2 linked regions of the Xenopus tropicalis genome follow. The protein of the gene in region 1 binds, or shares a complex with, the protein of each later gene. Links are inferred from orthologs where the notes say so. Each region holds a gene or a part of one and is shown in the gene's direction. Other genes may lie near its edges.

Region 1 (4,476 bases):
AAGGTGGCACAGCATCCAGAAACTACTCAGAATTAGAACAGAGGGGTTAGTACCCTGGGTGTCATGTACCAGCCTGTGGACTTAGGTGGAAAGGCTCAGAAAGACTCCTGTCAGACATGGGATGGTAGCAGGCAGGGAAGACACCAAAAGAGATGCAAGATGAGATCCTTTTGTTTTTACCGCCTAAAGGTAGGGGAGTTGTGATTGGTAGATGGTTGCTGGGGGGATCATGTGGCAGGTTACATGGACAGGTTTCAGCTATTGGTTAAAATGGGTAAAAAAGGGGATCAGGTGACAGGTCAGAGCTCTATATAAAGGGGTCCCCAGATAAGATGTCCCTGAAGATCTCCAGGGTGACAGACTTTGTGGCAGCAGCAGATAAGGAGTTGCCCACCCTACCTTCCCTATATTAAAAGAAAAATTAATTCTGAAAAAAAACAAAATTTGTTGCAGCTTGGAGGATTGTTGGTGTTAATAAATTTGGAAAGCAAGTTCTTGAACTGGGGCTTCCAGCTGGTGGTGTGGCGGGAGCTGGAAAATTAATAAAGGCGGTCTGTCAACAGCTGTACATGGGCTGCCCAGGTAAGAACTATTATGCTCTATGTTTGTGTAAACAGTTATGAAAGTTGATTTTTATATGGTCATATGAAAATGATTGTAATGTAAAGTTTTAAAATAAACAAGCTGTGGCCTTCTCCTCCATCAAGCAAGTGTCAGTGTCTGTTTGCCCTGCTTACCTATGCCATGTCCCCACTGGCTGATTGCATTCATTGCTCTGCACAATAGTCCTTTCTGTGACAGCTTCCTATAACTCCCAGGGGGAATCTGCATATGGAGCTGCATGTTGTTTTCACCTGTGGAGTTACATTAATGTTAGGTGTTTGCAATATTATTGCATATTGGACTTAAGGAGTTTTAGTACATTTTGGGTATGTTTGCGGTTTACATCCCACCAAGGGGCAGATTTACCAAAGTGTGAAATTAGAGCTTACTTTATCCTTTAGGAATGAATAGAAAGTGGGTGAATATTACCACGGTGAGCTCTAATTTCACACTTAAATAAATCTGCCCCCAAGTGCTAACATGGAAGTGTTCAGGGAAGAAGGAAAACTGTAACATACTTACCATGATTTCCCTTTCCTTCTTTTCAGCATTTCACTTTTGTAAGGAGTGAGAAGAGTTTTCTATCATCTCTCTATCTCTCTCACTCGGGCCCAGATTTGTGACAAGGCTACAAAGGCCAGGGCCTAGGGCGACACAAATTTAGGGGAGGCATGCCACCCAGCCACACCTGGACTTTGCTCACACTCAGAGCACTGGGGACAGGACACACAGAAAACTTCAGTGCGCTCGTCCTGTCCCCAGTACTCCTTATCTCCTTATGTGAGCTAAATGGATGCGCATGTGCGTTTCCGAGGGCGATGTGGGGGGGGGGGTGTCGGGGGGGGCAGGGAATTGGAGCGTCTTCTGGGTGCCCTCATTAGAAATCTGGCACTGCTCTCTCTTTCTCATCTATCTATCTATCTATTTATTTATCGCTGTCATTTATCTATCTATAGCTGTTCATCTATCTATCTATAGCGGTCATTTATCTATATATAGCTGTCATCTATCTATCTATCTATCTATCTATCTATCATCTATCTATCGAATGCACTCTAGCACAGTGAAAAGCTGGGGCATTAAACTAGAGGGGTATAAATGGTGACACAAATAAACTAGCAGAAAAAGCAGAAATAGGTAGCGATAAATGGTTTCAAAAACAGAACAGTTACAGCTTGTGCCAGGATATCATCTATGGAATAACAATTTTAGGGTTTCTATTATTAGCTGCAGCCAGAGCATGAGAGAGCTATAATTTTTATGGATTTTTATTAAACTGAATGAGCACCAAGTCCCCGTGGCTTGATAATATTAGGACCCTGGAGCAGAGACTGATTCATGCTCAGCACAAACCCCACCCTCAAGGCTGTTCGGGCTTTTGTGTGACTTGAGTGTTCTCACAAGGTAGCAGAGAGGATGTCAAATCCCAATGAAGGTTGTGCCTGCCCGGAATGTGTGTGTGCTTCATGTGAAGCTGCTGAGGCTCTGGCAGCAGGCACCTCTCTCCACTTGTTCCAGCTGTTAGCAGAGTGTGCAGGACAAAGTGCTCCATGCATCGCCTGCTGCTCTAAATCTGCAGTTATCCATGCCCCTCTAATTATTACTTCATGAATGTTATCACCAGAGAGAAGCACCGGGAGCCGCCAGATGAACAGCAGCATGAAAGGAGCCAAACTTGATCATCTACTTTATAGGAACTGGTCTGAGCAAGATGTGAATGGGACACAGGAGCCCTTTCTAAACCCAAATGCTGATTATGATGATGAATTTCTACGCTACCTTTGGAGGGAGTATCTGCACCCCAAACAATATGAATGGGTGCTAATCGTTGGCTATATCATAGTCTTCATCATTGCTCTTATTGGAAACATACTAGGTAAGTAATACAATAGAGATCATTTCCTTTAGCTGAATGGAATATCAAACTAAAGAGAAACATTGTTGAAGTTTGCCTGTTTCCCATTGTCATTTACATGCATAGAAGATTGATAATGGTACATAGAAATATACTGGTGCCTGAGCAATAGAAGGCAAGTTCATTCCTTCATCTAATTTCTAAAGATAAGTTTGGCTATATATTGGACAGATATAATAGATGATATAATAGAAAATGTCATGATTGTGCATTGGGGATTCTTAAATAGATTATATTCCACTGCAGCAAGAAATGACAGGACTGCTCAGGGCAGTTGGGAACAGTGAAAACTGAATATCATACTGTGGGTATCTGAGACAGAGACTGGTTACTCTCTAAACTGTGTGCTTATTATTGGTTATATTTTATAAAACATATATATTATATATTGTTATTATTGTTTTGCACTGTAAAGCCACTTTTGAAAAGATAAAGCAGCATTAGCATAACTTGTACTTGTATCCAGTGAGATAATAACATAAATGAATGAGTGAGAAAATCCATCTTTTCTGACACCCTAGAACAGAAAAGTCCAGGTACTGTAGTCTTTTGGTTTAACTGTGTAACTGTGTCTCCCAATCAGAGCTGATCCAGTGCACTAGATATCCACACTAGATGTTGCTTGCTCAGATGGGCTACCTTTAGAAAACTTGATCTCGTACAGCCTAATGGTCACATAGAGGCATACTGTATGGTGGCAACATTGACCCATCTCTGTCCAGAGACCTTGTGTAGAACTACCTGTTTTACTGAGTCAGCAGTAATCCTGTAAACACTCATGAACGTAATCCACTGTAATCCTGCAGATACATATGATCATAATCCCCTGTAATCAGATACTGTAGAACATGTAGCAATGTATGTACATAATGCCCAGCAAGCACATTATCTCTAGCAAGCAAATACAAATAATGTAACCCTAACAATTCCCCTTTTTTCAAGTAGATAATTCAAAGTAACACTGCTTGCACAAGTGGAACATAAACCTTAACAATCCTTCAGCAACTTTCACATAATATCCAGTAATCTGACAGGCACCCTGGTACTTAACACCCTGCAGTTGTATTGGCATATCTGCATATTATGCCTAGTGAACCCCCAGTAATTCTTCTAGCAAATTCACATACACAAAAAACCACTAGTACACCTACATGTGGAATTATAAATATATTTCCATATACATACTAGCATATAATACCTAGCAATCCCATGTAGTAATCCTAAAGGTGCCCTGACACATAATATCCAGTATTCTCATATGATAGTTACTATATAATCTCAAATAATCCTACAGGCACCTTGACACATAATCCCCAGTATTCCCATATGCAAATTACTATGTAATCTCAAATAATCCTACAGGCACCCTGACACATAATCCCCAGTATTCCCATATGCAAGTTACTATATAATCTTAACTAATCCTACAGGCACCCTGACACATTGTCCCCAGTATTCCCATATGCAAGTTACTATGTAATCTCAAGTAATCCTACAGGCACCCTGACACATAATCCCCAGTATTCCCATATGCAAGTTACTATATAATCCCATGTAATCCTACAGGATCTCTGACACATAATCCCCATCCTACAGGATCTCTGACACATAATCCCCAGTATTCTTATATGCAAATTATTATGTAATCTCACATAATCCTTCAGGCACCCTGACACATAACCCCAGTATTCTCATATGCAAATTACTATGTAATCTCAAATATTCCTACAGGCACCCTGACACATAACCCCAGTAATCCTGCAGGTCTGTAACCCCAGCAAACCTAAGAGTACATTGGCACATAACCCATAGCATCACTTTAATTTAGCAGCCAGTATATAAGAACACAACAGCTTCATACATTCTTCTTGAAACTGACAGGCAGTATGTTATATTGCAGTTATATGCCTATCTTTATGCTGGCACCCAGTATACGTTTATTTCAGTTATATGCATAG
Region 2 (4,347 bases), on another chromosome or scaffold:
ACTCACCCCAAATCCCCCCCTAACTGGCCTTCAGGCTGGGCCCCCTTAGCCCATAACAAGGTTACAGATATATAGAAACATTGGGGTAACAGTCACCCCGCTATAGTTCCAGGGGTACCCAGGGCACAAATAAGCACTCACCCCAAATCCCCCCCTAACTGGCCTTCAGGCTGGGCCCCCTTAGCCCATAACAAGGTTACAGATATATAGAAACATTGGGGTAACAGTCACCCCGCTATAGTTCCAGGGGTACCCAGGGCACAAATAAGCACTCACCCCAAATCCCCCCCTAACTGGCCTTCAGGCTGGGCCCCCTTAGCCCATAACAAGGTTACAGATATATAGAAACATTGGGGTAACAGTCACCCCGCTATAGTTCCAGGGGTACCCAGGGCACAAATAAGCACTCACCCCAAATCCCCCCCCTAACTGGCCTTCAGGCTGGGCCCCCTTAGCCCATAACAAGGTTACAGATATATAGAAACATTGGGGTAACAGTCACCCCGCTATAGTTCCAGGGGTACCCAGGGCACAAATAAGCACTCACCCCAAATCCCCCCCTAACTGGCCTTCAGGCTGGGCCCCCTTAGCCCATAACAAGGTTACAGATATATAGAAACATTGGGGTAACAGTCACCCCGCTATAGTTCCAGGGGTACCCAGGGCACAAATAAGCACTCACCCCAAATCCCCCCCTAACTGGCCTTCAGGCTGGGCCCCCTTAGCCCATAACAAGGTTACAGATATATAGAAACATTGGGGTAACAGTCACCCTGCTATAGTTCCAGGGGTACCCAGGGCACAAATAAGCACTCACCCCAAATCCCCCCCTAACTGGCCTTCAGGCTGGGCCCCCTTAGCTCAGGCAAGTGGTGGGGGGCCACAGTAGGGGCCACACTGAGTTCTGTGTATCCCAAAGCCATTTATATGCCATTAACTAACCCTCCCTGTGTGAGGAAGACGTCGTTGCTATAAATACGTTGGCCTCATCGAATCGTATTAGTCCCTTTATCTGGAAGCCATTAATTAACTCCGTAAAGGGTTCTTTAGCAGGGCGAGACCCGAATGCCTTTATTTGCTGACACCCAATAGTTGCCTAGAGCTCGGCCATTGAGACGCCATGACTCCTTCCCAGATCGCTATGGAGGCCTTTCTGAAGAACATTCCAAGCAGAAAGCTCATTAGTCTAATAACCGCGTCCCATGATAACGAGCGCAGTGGGTAACAATGTCCGAGTCGTTAAGTCGTTAATGAGAATCATTATGATCCCTACTCATGTTTGGCCTAAATGTCTGTAAGAATCCCGGTGAAATTCCACTGGTGGCGGCTCCTTGTTAACGCCGGGTAACTCATGGTAATAATACGTATTCAGAGGACAATGGCGCAGGCTGGAGTATTGGGGGCTGACGAGCCTCCTTTTGTCACCAAGAGACGTCGCGCCACCAAATTCATTAAAATGATGCTCCTTTTGTACAATGTTCCCCCAAGCTTTGTAGCGAAGGCCGGCCCCCCGAAATAGACGCATTTCTTGATGAAGGGATCCGTATATATAAAGCGGAGAGAGATGCTCAGATCTTCTCAGATCTACCGGTCCGAGGGGAAGGTACGGAGCCTCTAGAACACGCGCCCGGAACGATGGAGTCTCTAAATGAGAAGGTAAGGGACGGAGTAGGGGAACCTTCCTGATATTGGGATCCATAGAAGGGAGATTTATTTTCATATACAGGTATGGGACCCATTGGAAGACCCGGCGGTTGGGGGTACACATAGGTACCAATGGCAAAGTTAGAGGAGGGGGGGAGGTCCTCAAGAACAATTTTAAAAAACTAGGCAATAAGTTGAGGGCGAGGATTTCCAAGGTAATTTTCTCAGAGATATTCCCTGTGCCTCGGGCAGGGGGAACTCAGGGAGATTAACCCCCGGCTGAGAGATTGGGGTTCTGGAGAACTGGGCTGATTTCTCAGGCTCTTTGCCTGGGATGGGGGGCACCTCGATGATGATGGGGCAGCTGCTTTGGGGGAGAAGATGGCTAGAGGGTTGGGGGGGGGGGGAGAAGGTGGCTAGAGGGTTGGGGGAGGGGGGTGAGGGTGCAGTGGGTAATATTGGGGGGTATACATTGTTTTGGAGGGACAGGGGCAATAGGAAAGGAGGAGGGGAGTGTCTGTTCATTAAGCAGGAATTAACTGCAAATATTAAGGCAGAAGTGATGGGGTTAACAGAGGGAGCTGAATCCTTATGGGCTGAGCGTCTCACAGATGGTTAAGAGTCTAACCATCCAAACTAATTCTAGGGGTATGCTATAGACTAGGGATACCCCGAACCCCCCCTTATGGATTATCCAAATCTCGAACTGGTTCGGCCAGGACCGTGGATTCGGCCGAAAACGAATCCATAAAAAAAGGGCTGGAATCCGGGATTCAGTGCTTCGCTACTATAGCCCCCCTAATGTAAGCGAAGGGGGGGAGGCAAATAGAAAAGGCTGCTAGTTTGGGGCAAGTGATAATAATGGGGGATTTTAATTACCCTGATACTGACTGGGGCAATAGTACTGCCAGGGCAGTAAGTGGGAACAAGTTTATAAACTTTATGGCACCGGTTGTTGAGGAGCCAACCAGGAACCTGCTGTATGGGATCTAGTGATCTCTAATGGCCCAGAACGTATAGCAAATGTGCGAGTGACTGCAGCTTCAGAGACTTCATATTCAACATTATGTCTATTTCTCTTCTGTTTGTATTGTGTCAGGCATTTTACTCAGGAGCAGTGTTTGCCCTCAAAACCTCAGCAGAGAGTGTTTCTGTATAGTGTCAGGCTGGTGTAGCTCAGTCCATCCATAGAGAGAGATATATAGGATAGATACATAGACAGACAGACTGATAGATATAGATGAGAGAGAGAGAGACAGAGAGAGAGAGGAATGGATGGAGAGAGACAGAGATACAGATCAGTTTATATAGAGGCACCGCTATAAGTAATGCTGTACAGTACAGACAGGAGGGATTAGCAGTGACAGGGTCCCGGTGCTTAGAGCTTACAATCTAATGGGATGAGAAACATATAGACATATATAGTAATGTAATGTTTGGGGCATTGGCCCATAAATGTCAGTGTAACGACTCCCCTGCTTTCTATCTGCAATAAGATAAAATAATAATGAGCTTTAGGATCAAACTCATGTTCCATTCCCCATTCCATCGTACCCCCATTCCATCGTACCCCCATTGCCCCGTACCCCCATACCCCCATTCCATCATTCCATCGTACCCCCATTCCATTGTACCCCCATTCCATCGTACCCCCATTGCCCCGTACCCCCATACCCCCATTCCATTGTACCCCCATTCCATCGTACCCCCATTGCCCCGTACCCCCATTCCATCGTACCCCCATTCCATCGTACCCCCATTCCATCGTACCCCCATTGCCCCGTACCCCCATACCCCCATTCCATTGTACCCCCATTGCCCCGTACCCCCATTCCATCGTACCCCCATTGCCCCGTACCCCCATTCCATCGTACCCCCATTGCCCCGTACCCCCATACCCCCATTCCATCGTACCCCCATTGCCCCGTACCCCCATACCCCCATTCCATTGTACCCCCATTGCCCCGTACCCCCATTCCATCGTACCCCCATTGCCCCGTACCCCCATTGCATCGTACCCCCATTCCATTGTACCCCCATTGCCACATACCATTGTACCCCCATTGCCACATACCCCCATTCCATTGTACCCCCATTGACCCGTACCCCCATTCCATCGTACCCCCATTCCATCATACCCCCATTCCATCGTACCCCCATTCCATCATACCCCCATTGCCCCATACCCCCATTGCCCCATACCCCCATTGCCCCGTACCCCCATTGCCCCGTACCCCCAGCACCTACACAGTGAGGCTGCAATGAGTTGCGCCTACAAACATCAATATTTTCTATATCGGTTCATACACCCCGAATCTCTTTCCGTTGCAGCTCCGTGTGTTATTAATGATATATTAATTCACTGACTCTGCTATAAATACTGTGTTCTATGGGCACAATCTTGGCCTTTATACATATTGTGTCTTCACTATCACTTTAAAGGGGTTAACCTTTAGTAGGATGTAGAGAGTGATTATTTTTTATTATTTTTTATTATGATTTTATTATTTGTAGTTTAGTTATTTTGATTTTTGTTCAGCAGCTCTGCAGTCTGGAGTTTCAGCAGCTATTTGGTTGCTAGGGTCCAAGTTACCTTAGCAACCAGGGAGTGGTTTTAATGAGAGACTAGTACATGAATAGGAGAGGGACTAAATAGAAAGATAAGTTATAAAAAGTAACAATAACAATAAAACTGGAGCCTCA

The links.
Region 2: the proteins of hcrtr2 (region 1) and hcrt are in contact, whole or in part, in a cryo-EM structure (PDB 7L1U), measured with the Homo sapiens proteins. The link is inferred for Xenopus tropicalis from reciprocal best matches to the Homo sapiens genes HCRTR2 and HCRT. Residues at the interface, in NP_001371201.1 of Homo sapiens: Thr111, Val114, Trp120, Pro131, Gln134, Thr135, Val138, Gln187, Val209, Cys210, Asp211, Phe227, Thr231, Ile320, Ser321, Asn324, Lys327, Arg328, Phe333, Ala334, Thr336, Arg339, Val342, Tyr343, Phe346, His350, Tyr354; in NP_001515.1 of Homo sapiens: Asn89, His90, Ala91, Ala92, Gly93, Ile94, Leu95, Thr96, Met97.

Annotation. Positions count from the first base shown.
Region 1 is NC_030681.2:96,131,229-96,135,704, reverse strand, and holds the start of hcrtr2 (orexin receptor type 2), read left to right. Parts: upstream 1-1,665; 5' UTR 1,666-2,214; coding exon 2,215-2,479; intron 2,480-4,476. UniProt on the Homo sapiens protein: Nonselective, high-affinity receptor for both orexin-A and orexin-B neuropeptides. Triggers an increase in cytoplasmic Ca(2+) levels in response to orexin-A binding.
Region 2 is NC_030686.2:6,727,781-6,732,127, forward strand, and holds the start of hcrt (orexin), read left to right. Parts: upstream 1-1,455; 5' UTR 1,456-1,635; coding exon 1,636-1,656; intron 1,657-4,347. UniProt on the Homo sapiens protein: Neuropeptides that play a significant role in the regulation of food intake and sleep-wakefulness, possibly by coordinating the complex behavioral and physiologic responses of these complementary homeostatic functions.